3 linked regions of the Arabidopsis thaliana genome follow. The protein of the gene in region 3 interacts with the protein of the main gene of each other region in a pairwise test. Each region holds a gene or a part of one and is shown on either strand. Other genes may lie near its edges.

Evidence for each region.
Region 1: the proteins of MEE18 (region 3) and AT3G20680 interact in a two-hybrid assay, tested with the Arabidopsis thaliana proteins (one large-scale study listed by BioGRID).
Region 2: the proteins of MEE18 (region 3) and TRX-M4 interact in a two-hybrid assay, tested with the Arabidopsis thaliana proteins (one large-scale study listed by BioGRID).

The regions. Positions count from the first base shown.
Region 1 is NC_003074.8:7,229,503-7,232,951, forward strand, and holds AT3G20680 (plant/protein (DUF1995)), read right to left. Parts: upstream 1,693-3,449; 5' UTR 1,662-1,692; coding exon 645-1,661; 3' UTR 566-644; downstream 1-565. Other genes in the region: HTA13 (histone H2A 13), read left to right, coding at 1-158, 252-461; AT3G20690 (F-box and associated interaction domains-containing protein), read right to left, coding at 2,068-3,180.
Region 2 is NC_003074.8:5,186,683-5,190,401, reverse strand, and holds TRX-M4 (thioredoxin M-type 4), read right to left. Parts: upstream 2,162-3,719; 5' UTR 1,955-2,161; coding exon 1,693-1,954; intron 1,265-1,692; coding exon 945-1,264; 3' UTR 566-944; downstream 1-565. Other genes in the region: AT3G15357 (phosphopantothenoylcysteine decarboxylase subunit), read right to left, coding at 2,807-3,238.
Region 3 is NC_003071.7:14,395,729-14,401,181, forward strand, and holds MEE18 (maternal effect embryo arrest 18), read right to left. Parts: upstream 3,548-5,453; coding exon 3,268-3,547; intron 3,044-3,267; coding exon 2,927-3,043; intron 2,818-2,926; coding exon 2,685-2,817; intron 2,573-2,684; coding exon of another isoform or gene 2,558-2,572; coding exon 2,461-2,557; intron 2,320-2,460; coding exon 2,276-2,319; intron 2,189-2,275; coding exon 2,032-2,188; intron 1,804-2,031; coding exon 1,732-1,803; intron 1,590-1,731; coding exon 1,506-1,589; intron 1,335-1,505; coding exon 1,233-1,334; intron 1,145-1,232; coding exon 1,097-1,144; intron 1,029-1,096; coding exon 903-1,028; coding exon of another isoform or gene 816-902; coding exon 555-815; downstream 1-554. Other genes in the region: AT2G34100 (nonsense-mediated mRNA decay-like protein), read right to left, coding at 3,977-4,285, 4,415-4,687, 4,835-4,947, 5,075-5,327.

The sequences.
Region 1 (3,449 bases), on a different chromosome or scaffold from region 3:
GCGTTGCTAAGAAATCAACATCGAGAAGCAGCAAAGCCGGTCTCCAATTCCCCGTTGGTCGTATCGCTCGTTTTCTAAAGAACGGCAAGTACGCAACACGTGTTGGTGCCGGAGCTCCGGTTTACTTAGCCGCCGTTCTCGAATACCTCGCCGCTGAGGTAATTATCCCCTTCTCTCCCTATATCTCTTTACTCTTTCGATCTTCAATTTCGTAAAACCCTAATTTCTAAATTGGATCTGTTGTGTTGTAGGTATTGGAATTGGCTGGAAACGCAGCTAGGGATAACAAGAAGACTAGGATTGTGCCACGTCACATTCAGCTCGCGGTGAGAAACGATGAGGAGCTGAGTAAACTGCTTGGAGATGTGACGATTGCTAATGGAGGTGTGATGCCTAACATTCACAGTCTTCTTCTTCCCAAGAAAGCTGGTGCTTCAAAACCTTCCGCTGATGAAGATTAGATTAGGGATTTGTGTTGTGGTTGTTTAGCTAATTAATGTGTAGCTTAGTCTTTCATTAGATTAGATCTGAATTAGTTTTCATTAATGGTGTTGTGTAGTCTCTCTTTTGCTTCAAAAACAAGTATTAAAATCTTATTATTTTGAATTGAATCCACAATCAATACACATTGAAGTCCTAACAAACTACTTCTTCCCAGTGATATTTGAAACCAAATCACTAAGAAACTTAGCTGATTTGGTAATAGGAGAATTCATAGCCATCAAGTTATACAGAACAAGCTCAACTTCTTCGATTGATGGTCGAGAATTGAATTGTGAAACAACTTTCAAAGTACCATTACCTTCTTCTTCTTCAACGAGAACATTCCATCTTTCTCCACTCACAACACCGTCTCTTACACACTTAAAGATCACTCCTTTTCTCTTACTAAACACTCCTCTCACTTCTAAGCCAGTGAACGCATAAATCACTTCAAAGGAACCAATAAAGCCATCTCCAAAGCTTTTCTCTTCTTCAAACAACCATCTCGGATTGATCATTACTACAGGTTTTGTAGAAAAAGCTTCACTCGCGGTCTTAACATCCTCCAGCTGCGATTTCTCCGGAGCCATGAAGATCGCCACGTCAGCAGATCTCAGAGCTGTTTTAAGAGAGTCTGAGACCGGAGACATGGCAATGTGGTGGATAGAGTCTGACCGGAAAGCTTTAACGGCGGGATCGATGAATGAAGGGTTAGGCCAGAGGAAGAGAAGCTTGACATTAGAGCCTCTTCTCGAGATGGGTAAGTCATGAAAGATCGAGAAAGCGAGCTGAGAGAGTGACGAAGGAGAATCATCGTCAAGGATTGGGATTTCAAGACGGAATCTTGGTTGTTTGAGCTTCCTGAGTTTTGGGGAAGCGAGTTTTGGGTTGTTTAAGGGTTTGATGAGACATGAAAGGAGACAAGTTTTGGCTTGATTAATGGCTTCTTCTTTGGAAAGGGGAGGAGAAGAAGAAGAAGGTGAAGGAAGAGAGGAACAGAGAGGAGCGAATAAACGAGTAGTGGTTGATTTGTGGTTGAGCTTTGAATGCTGTTGTGAGAGTGATTTGGAGAAATGAAGATGGAAAATTCTGGAATTGGGAGGAGATAACGAAGGAGGAGATGGGTTTAGAGCTTTGAATGTCTGTGAATTGAGTTTGAAGAGAGTCGAAGAAGCCATGGCTGATCTCTGATGATGAGGAAGAGAAGAGAAAGAGGATAAGGTTGTTCAAAACTTCAAATAAGAAATGAGACAAAACCGATCGAGTTACATAAACGAAAATTTGATTTCGGTTTGGGTCGGTTTATATAACCAAACCGAAAATAAAGTAAACAAAACAAAGGAATTGCTTAAACAAAAGTACCTTGCTCGTCACTTGTTGTCTCTCTGTTTTGTAATTTGATAACTTATAAATCTTCATTATATAATTGCATAAAGAGATGAGAAACAAATTAATATTAAAATAAGATGAAAGCAAGAAGACTAATTCATAGGTCTGGTTAACTTGATTTGAATAAAACTTGGAGCATAAGAACACATAGGACCTGGTGTGCATAGAGAGTCACCGAGACCCACTGTTTTGAGACTACTTCACAGAACTTGGTACATAAGAGCACACAAGACGGCAAAGTGGTTGATATAGAGGTTCACGGAGATCCGCTCTTCTGAAATAACCATTCTCTCCAACGATGTAAGCTATGTGGACAGTGGATTTGAGCCCCTCTGTCTCCTCTTTATTAAAAAACACTACGACTTTCTCTTCATCATAAATCAAGTATCCCTCAGTCAGAAAAAATCTTGGTGTGTTATCAACTTTTAAGAACTTGCTCCACGAGACTTCATCGGGCTCAATCTTGTTCGTAACCCAAATATCGATCTCAGATTTGCCACCCCGCCACCGCTTTACTAACACCGCAAGCTTCTCTTCTCTTACCACATATAGACTCCCCAAAAATTCATCGATGAAGGGTTGAGGTAGAGGCAGACGCGGTCCGAATCTCTCTCTAGTAAAATCAAAGCATATTAAATAACAATCTTCTGATCTTCTATCTTTAGCATACCAGTAAGTATTTCCCTTCAAAGACACGCCATCTTGCATAAACGCTATATCCCATTTAAGAGGGAAACTAGAAACCATCCGTGAATTAGACCTCAAATTGTAGATTTCAAGTCTATTAGGGTAACTATCGAAAACCCTTAAGATTTTGTGGCAACCACAAGATTTGTCGTATCCGAAAGCAAGTTTGTCAAAACTTGCAAAATTATTTATGCGTTTGACCCATTCACGTTTCCCCCAATACGGGTTACAAACCACAAGCCTAATACTATCATCAGTGATGCTTCCGTATAACAACAATAAACCGTTGCAGTGAAAGACATTGAATATTTCCTTGAATATTAGATCTAAATTTTCTAGGTGAAGAATACCTTTATTCTTTATAGATAGATCAATAATGTTGTTGTTGTTCTGAATACCATGGAGATTGACGCCAATTGAATAAACCTTACAATCTTTAATCATTATCAAATCTCTTTTCCCTGATGCGGTTACATTGCCGATGTGCTTATTTGCAAAGCTCCGATGTTTGGATAGAACGTTCCAGGTTTTGCAAGTAGATCGCATTGCTTTTAAAGATATCAACGGAAGCCTAGAGAGAATCTCCTCCACCAAATCATGTGGAAGATCGGACATCATCATCGTCGCTGTTTCAAATTTCGAACAAGGATTGATCTATTTGGCGCAGATGTTAGGTCAACTTTCATAAACTCTTTTCTTTCAGACTATCGATAGATTGTTATTGAAGACACATAAACCCTAGTATTTAATTGTCTGAAATACACAAAACTCTCAAACATCCTTGTTTATTGGGCCACTCTTATTTTTAGCCCATTGGACGTATTATCCTTCCGCTCACGTGGCACAAAAACGATTGAGTTATAAACAAAATTTTTGGTATCGGTTTGGGT
Region 2 (3,719 bases), on a different chromosome or scaffold from region 3:
GATCTTTCTTTTTTTATTGCTCTTGAAAATTCTATAATAATTGAATATAGGTCTAAACACAGGGGAACATAATTTCCTAGTTGAAATACTAAAACACTTTAATGTCATATAGCTATTTTTTGGTGAAGTAGTTAATGAAAAATATTTTTGATATGTCCATATAGAAGCATATTAAGTAACAACATTTTAGTTTCTGAGGAGAATTACCCATAACAAAATACTAGTATTTGAAATACTACAAGATAATGATATTTTTAGCTCTGGTTAGAGATTGAACTGCCTTGTAATCTGACTGTAACTAACATTTGGTTCCGAGAGGAAAATGATGGAAGAGAATGGCAGAGTTGACAAACGTTTTCGATATCTAGCTGTATATTTAGTTCAGGATTTCGTATCTTAATTATTCGGTGCTATCAAAGGTTGGGAATTTGAGATCTAAGTTTCCTAAGTTTTAGTCGCGAAATGACCTGTGTAATCCGAGATTAAATATGGGAATCCAACTAAACTGATTTAAAAACGAAACGCGTTTTCTCCTGATCGTTTAGTAAAGACATGGCTTGGACATGCCACATAGTATATACTCACATAATTGGATTAGAAATCGAAAACATACATGATATAATATAAGATTACATAGACCCCCTCGTGGTATTAATATATGTCCTATGCAGTACACAGAATGAAACAGTACGGAAGCCTACATTACTCAAAACATATGTATGTATATAGATTGTACGGTGAATTAGGAAGAACAATGGCATGTGGTTCAACGTGGAGTTATGCTTCTCATGCGTCGGTGGATTACTTTGTTTCCATTTTTTTTATTGAAGAAGACAAAGAGGACCCACGATAACATAATAGTCAAAAACTTAAAAGACTTTACAGAGATTACAAGAGAGAAGATAAGGTAAAATGGTTCAGAGTGACAAAAGAGTCAAATTTTGTTACTCGACCAAGAATCTTTCTATAGTTTTCTCCAACGTCTCTCTAGGCACAGCTCCAATGATGCTATCTTTCTTCTCACCGCCTTTGAAGATGATTACTGTTGGAACGCTTCGTATCCCGTAACGGTTTGCTGTATTTGGGCTCTCGTCAGTGTTGATTTTGTAGAATTTGAACTTCCCTGCGAAATCTTTGGCTAGCTGGTCAACTATGGGGTGAATCATACGGCAAGGTCCACACCATGGTGCCCAGAACTCGACCAGAACTGGGACATCTGATTCCAGAACCTTTGTTTGCCATTCTGAATCAGACAGATTTGGTACTGCAACATCAAACAAACTAGTTAGATATATCTCAATGGTGATTGAAATTATGCAACTATCAGAGAGAACCGTTCTGTGAAATAGTATACAGAGCACATCAATGCTCAATGCCAACAAGACTCTGGTTCTTTCTTGAGTTATTTAAACCATATGCTAAAATCTTATCACAGAGTATCTTTGCTATCAATTTGTATAATCAATCCTGGTTTGATCATACAACAACTTGATAGATGAAGAAGTTGAGTATTCAATAACGTTGACTACAATGTTTTATCAGAATCCACTCCCTATGAATCCTAGTTTTAGAGAACTAAATCAGATAATACTAAAGACTAACAATCCAAGTAATTATATAGATGATGAAGTTGAATCCTCACTGATTTAAGGTTCAGATCTACGAGTTGTACTATAAGAAAACTGAAGTTACCTTCGACGGCGGCGGCAGTGGTGTCCTGAGCCTCACAGGCGATTCGTCCACCGCGAGCGATTCTGGTTCTACGATTCGCACCCAGACTGGCCGACTGAGTCACCAAACTCCGCGAAGACTTCAAACCTCTGAATTCCAGAAACCTGGCGGGAGAAATCCGGCGTCGTGAAACCGACGGAGCAGCTGAAGAAGACGAGACCGAAGCCGCAATCGGCAGAGAAAACACGCGGGTCACGGTGACGGAATCGAGTAACGACGCCATTGGAGCAGAGCAGAGATATTTTTTTGAGTGGTTAGAGGGTTTTTGGCAGATACGGGTGACAATTTGAATGACTTGAGAACACACACAGAGGCGAATGCGATTTTATCCTCGCCACGTCATTCTTTCCTTTGAGATAACGACAACGTTTAGAGGACTCCTGTAAACCGTCAATTGTTTTAGTAGACCGACTATCAAATTTGATTTCGGTTAGGCAGCACATCTGATTTCGGTTAGGCAGCACCGCACCAATTCGGTTAGGCAGCACTGCTATAAGGTCGATTCTATTTACGAAGACGGACATGTTCTTTTTTCATTAGTTAAGGTTGAGGATTGGACTCTTATATCACTTTATGAAAGGGTGTCTATATTATATATAGTTTAACTTTTCTTTGGAGAGTAATTTTTTTTCTTAAAACAGATTTGCATAAATACATATGGATTCTATTACTAAGCGTTATGATCACATAAATTAGAGAAAACTTGTTCAAAACTCGATTCCAAATAGTATTGAGCTTGTTTTGAGAGAAAAAAAAAAGAAGACAAAACTCGATTTGGGATGTTATAATAATCTAATCACCATCGTCTAATCGATACCATTTTAATAGTTTACTGAGATAGTTGCAACATTTTCGTCAGTTTGAGAATTTTTTTGTTCTTTCCCCCGAATGTCACATATATCATTGATAACCAAAACCACAGATTTAATAGTTAAAATGGGATGTGAAGAAAAATATACTGGACAAAGAAGAAGAAATTGTCATTTTAGAACCATTTCATCAAAGAAGGTTTATGTCTAAAGCCATTAATCTCAAGCAAACAAAAAACAGAAAGCATTTTGTGAAGAATGAAGAGTTACTTCTTCTTCCTTGTGTACTTGTCATCCTCCTCTTCCTCATCATCTTCGTCAGAATCTTCATCGTCTTCAAAGTCAACGTCATCAATCTCGTCTTCATCAAAATCCGTGTCCTCCTCTGAATCAGCATCTTTGTTGTCCACCACTCGCTTTCCATGAGCCGCCTCCATTTTCCCTACTCTCTCCGAAACGGCCTCCTTCTGAACGAAGCCGACACGTAAACCGGATTTCATAACCGGAAAAGTTTCAGAGTAAACAGGGTATTGGCTAGCCGCCGGCATCTGGTTAAAACAAAGCAGAGATCGAATGGCCGGTCCATTGTTCTGTACTGTCTCGGTGAGATTGATCTTACGTCCACGGAGGAATAGATTCGTCAACGATTTTCCGTCGCGGATGAGTGATCTCGCCGCCGATGATGAAGCTGAAGCCATTTTTGATCGCAGTGTACTGGGACTGATAAAGAGTTTAGGACGGCTAATATAAAGAGAGGGAAGGGTTTAGGGTTTTTAGTAGGAGTTGACACGTGGATAGACACGTGTACATTTACGTATCTCTTTTTCAGAACTGTAGTTTAGATTTTCAGTTGAAAGTACAACAACACGTCGGTAAAGTAAATCTGGTTCACATCTTTTGTCTTGATTAGGAGGGATAATAAAGCTTAAAAGTCAAAATCCAAACCTTGTATCGTTGACTTTTACTCACTTCTCTGGTAGCTCAGAAAATTGAGGCTATAATAAATCTGACTGATAAAGGGAACTGTACATATGAGAGTGACTTCTCAGTTCTCAATAGTCTTTTAAGATTTATGTCATAGTTAAGAGAAAAAAAGAGGATCCATGATTGTAAGAAGGGAGAAACTAATTAAGTCACCGGTTTCTTCAGAAATTAAGAAAAATTAAGGACAAAAAAAAG
Region 3 (5,453 bases):
ATAAAATTATGATCACTGTGTCAAAAACTTGTAAAGAAATCTTCGGTTAAATTCATCTTTCAACAATTAACATTGGTTATTGAACAAGTGATTCTTTTCTAAACTTAACTGAAAGGGCCAACAAAGTTGTATGGGCTTAGGGCCCTACCAATCTCAGGGCACGCTCTGTTTGTTGCTGGCATCATTTGCTTTGCTTTAATACATCTTTTTAGTAAAAGCACACATGTTAATACACAGTGAGAAACAAAGATGCCTTTGCTTGTTTGGGAATGAAAAGCACACATAGTTATGTAGAAATGTCATCATTTGGTTTCATTGGAAAGTGAACTGTATTCATCTGTACAGTAGTTATATGTAAAACGTGTAAGAAAAAACATATGATACAACTCCGAGAGAAAGAGAGGCGTTTGTCTTTCCTTAGCTAAGAATATGATCATTGACCATTCATAACCTTTCATATCAATTCACTAAAGGATCAAACTAAACAGTAACAAAAAAATCATGGTCCCAATTGCGTAGAAGAAGAAACTAGCTCTGGCCTAAAGAATCACTATTTACTCCACCAAACCGGCCAGTGTGTTTATCAGTGAGCTCGGGTTGAACAAGATACCGTGCTTCGGGTCACCAACACTCTCCACGACTCTCTGCAATAGAGTGGAGGTAACAGTGAGTGTTTGTTGTGCACATAAACTTGGAAACAAGTGAAGGAAAGAGATACTGACAACATCATATATCCCTTGTTCAGACAATTGTTTGAGATCTACTGCTATTTCTCCATCTTTCGGGACCAAGAGAGTGTTGATGTAATATCCAGGCTGCACACAAAAATGATGTTCTTGGATATCGATATATGTCTGATAAAGAAGACATCGAAAGAGTGTGGATTGTGAAGAACCACTCACGGGATTCTTGAGCCGAATATTAGTATCTCCATGAGTTCTGTTGAGAGCGTCAGCGATAGCAGTCACAAAGCAGGAAGCGGTGAACCTGCTTGTTTCTCGGTCTTGGCTACCGTTCAAAAGAAGTACCTGTGACAGAGAGAAGAAATCAGATTGATTTTTACCATCATTAGTATTTTTGACAAGCTTCAGCATACCTTACGACATGACCTGGAAGAGATAATCTCCCCAACACCAAGCAAAACCTGATGAACAGAAAGACTTGTCTATAACAGTTATCACAAATTTAGTAATCCACCATTTTTGCACAACATATTTATTGCGGGTGCTAACCAGTGATGGGCAAATGGAAGTGAACAGGGATCCCATTGCGTAAACGATACAGTCCACGCTTCTCAACTGCTCTAGGACAGTTGGGTTAACTGGTGGGAAGACCTGTTTAATGGACATAACACCAAACATTTGCAATGTCAAATACACCGTGCAAAACAAAGAAATGAAGTAGAGAACTAAAACGATAGAGTTTCTTAAAGGGAATCAGAATCATTAGAGATAACATTGAAGATATCTAGGACATTCTGTATATATAAAAGCAGAGTAGTTAACCTCATGAAGCAGATTATTGCCTTCACTTGACATGTAAAACACTCTCTTTATCTTCGATGGGAGAGCGGAAGTAGAACAATGTCTCTACTAGAAACATAGAAAGACAATGTAAGAAAATAAATTCTACATATGGCAAAATTGACATTTTTAATTGATACAAGTATATAGTAAACTTAGTTCTCGTGATCATCAAAAAACACCAATGTAAGATATTCAAATAGAACACCTTGTCAACTGTCTGCGTAGTCCCAGTGGTCGGGTGAGAAATTTCGTTCTGTCCGCGTATTATAGTCCCATCCTACAAATTAAAGTCATAACTTGTTAGTTTGCGAACAAATTTGCCACCTCAATCTTGCCATTAATTGTTTAAACCAAGAAGATGGCCAGTGAAGCGACAGCCAAGATTTATGTATAGAAAGCGATACTTCTTCCCGCAAATAATGATGCTTTAGCTGCGATATTTGTGGACAAGAATGGGATTCCATAAGCTAGCTGCGGGAATTCAAATAGAGATCAAGCTTCATACCTGTAATTCACATCCTAGTGTTAGCCTATCATTGGTTGATATCACTGGGAGGACCAAACTGTCACAAGGAATCTCTGAAACACGTGAAAACAGAAAAATTGCAGCATCTAAAGACTGGAAAAATATCCTTGCTCCTGCAAAGAAGAAGTTCCCAATGCTACAAGAAGGAAACAATCATAAGTGAGTTACTAAACAGGCGAACAAAATAATACACAGTTGAAGCCGAGAAAAAGATCTTCAATACCTTCCATTACTGAAGCAAAATCTCTCATTAGGTCGCCTATGAATCTGTATCATAAGAAACATGTCAAGTAAGAAATGACAGAATATTAAGGTAAAGAAAAATTTAAACAATCAAGAAGTTGGAACTTGGAACTGATCAAATATGAAACCAATAAAAACATGTTTCTCTGTATCAGTTAACATTACCTCATTCTGAAAGTATATCAAGAAAGCGCGAATTGTTTCACTGTAGGGTCTTGATACACCATCCCACAGAGAATGATTACCTTCTACAATATCGTACCTGTCAAAGTTCCAACTCAGCCAATGGTATATTACACAATATTGTCCACCACAGAACCTTAAATGTGTAGCTTATAGAGTAGACCACACTATGTGCATAAAGAAAACATAGTCATTGGATAAATTACCAATCTTTCTTGGCCTGATGTGCATCAATAGGTAAGCGATGGCCAAGCAACCGCCTAACAGCAAGTGCCTCTGAAGTACTCTCATCAGACAGCCTTAAACACCTCGAACGTATATCACCAACCGCTGGCCCTCCTATAGCAACGGAGATATTGAGCTTAGATTACTTCTGGTAAAAACTTAAAGAAGCTAAAACATATATAATCTGGGTCTTGTAGCAATGTTAGTGAGTTCTAAAACTTACCGAGAACACGAACAATCTCAGCAGTACTTCCACCATCATCAGAGACAGGAAGAACATGAGCGACTCGTGTTGTTAACTTCTTCAACTCTTCAACCACACCATTAAATCCAGTACCACCTTCATAGCAACAAATATAACGTTTTCCAAAATTCAGAGCAAAAGAAAACTACCTAAACCAATGTAAGACAATGATAAAGCTTTGCACTTTGCAACAAACAGAATTAACAAATGTCAAATTCTAAGTAATTGGTCAAGATCTAACACAAATAGACGATCTTATCGACATAAAAATCGTAACTTTAGGGAGACCCACGAAACAAGGAAGAGGAAGAAAGTGGAACCTGAGAAGACGAGGAGAGAAGGAGGCTCCACGGTGGAGGAGGAGAGACATTCAGCCATGAGAGAAGTGGAATTGTAGTAATGTGGCTTCTTGCTGCGGAAGAGAGAATGAAGAGACAAAGGAAGAGATGGTGATTTATAATGGACTAGACCCCCAAAATAGCAAATCTCCGCCATTACCGAACTGAAACAGAGAATGATGAAACATCTCACCACTACCCTTTTCGTTTTTGTCGATTTTCCAAGCCTTTGGATTTTTCTTTTTTCGCAATGAGAGTGCATAATAAAGCCATAAAAGATATTTATTACGCGTTAGAAAAGAAAATAATCACGGTACTGGTGGTTTTGTTGGTTTTCTACTTGGTTTGGTCCAATAAACCAAAACTAGTGTTAAATCGATTTTGGTGGGATTGTGGTTTTGCATTAGTGTTTGAGCTCAAAATACATGTATAGACCAAATGTCGATGATTCCACTGGAAAGGTACCTTAAGATAATCTAAAAGATCACATGATCGAATGGCAAAGAAGACAAACAATAATGATAAGAAAAAGTACACTATTTGGTATTAAACCCCAAGTTAATAGAGTGACATAAGCCTTGTGAAAAACGAATGAAACACTCAAAAAACTACACAAATAAATATCATTAAAGCCGATGTAAAGTATAAACTCGATCAAATCACACACATTTTTTGCCAAAAGATCAGAGCCCTAAGCACTCTTCACATAAACCCAATCACCATCTGGTAAAAGGGTCTCGACCTCACCAAATTCCGTATTCTTCGCAATTGTCTCTCGCCTCACATTCACAAATCCTTGTGATACGTCATCTTCATCGTCATGAAGCACTTTCCTTAGCTCGCTCATTCTCTGCTCGCGCGACATCTCCATCGCTTCTTCAGAGTGATATTCCCCAGCTTCATCATCCTCCTCATCGCATGATTCTTCATCTTCTTCGTCGGAAGACGTGTCAACATTATATAACTGCTGATAACCACCTTTCCACGTCAAACTTGAACCCTAATCACAAATACAATAACCAAATCAGCAACTGATTAAAATAACAACATTTCATAGATGATCATTTTCCTAGTTTTTGTATGAGCATAGGTATAAAAATGTGAAAAAAACTGCTACACAAAAACTTACACTATCTTTTTCATTACGATGATCGTAGGAACTAGGGGTATAATTCGTCGCTGATCCCAAATCAAGCTCCGACATGTTTTCGGAATATTTAAAAACTGTAGTATCCGCTTCTTCATCTTCATCATCAAAATCCTCATTCCATGAATCATCACTATCTTCGGAGAAAATGTCAACATCTTCTTCATCGTCATTATCCTCTTCTTCTTCTTCATCGAAAGACAAGTAGCCACTCTTTAACAGCTGATAGTCACAGTTCCACTTCAAACTCGATTCCTATATCAGAAAGATTCAGTCAGAGACAATAAACAAAGTAGCAACTAATTAAATTTACCAAAATTCCGTTATACAAAATCCATGGTGATTTACTTATTCTAGTTAATGAGCTTTGATATGAAAATGGGAAAAGTGCTTCAAACTTACACTATTCTCTTCATCATAATCATCATCATCAATACCATCAGCACCATCACCATAATTTTCATAACAATCATCACCACCTTGTGCTTGAGTGAAACTCTCTGGGAATTTTGAAGCTGCCAAGAAAATCAATATGATACTTGTCAGTCAAGAAACCAAAAAAGTGCTGATGTTCTAGCTACTTTAATTTAATGGTATTTACAATAACTATAATGTAATATATACTATATATAAAACACATACCACGCATAGCCCAGTGTTGGCTCGGTTTTTCTTTGACCTCAGCAATGCACATAGACCAGTGTTGAAGCGGTTTTTCTTTTACGTCAGAAAGGCACATATACCAGTGTTGAATCGGTCTTTCTTTGACCTCAGAGACAGGATATTGAGAGGAATGTTCATCACCAGATCCACCATTATCTGGCTGTCCGGTCAAGTCTTGGTTAGGCTGGTCGTCAAATATGTCTTTGGTTAACTCTGTCCAGAGTTCAATACTCTGAAAATATAGAAAAGAAAAACCAAATCAAAGAAAAGTTGTCATGTAAACGGTAAGTTTTGACAATCGAAGCCTGTTTTATGGAAAGATCTAACTATCATGAATAGTTCTGGTTTTCAAAAGGAT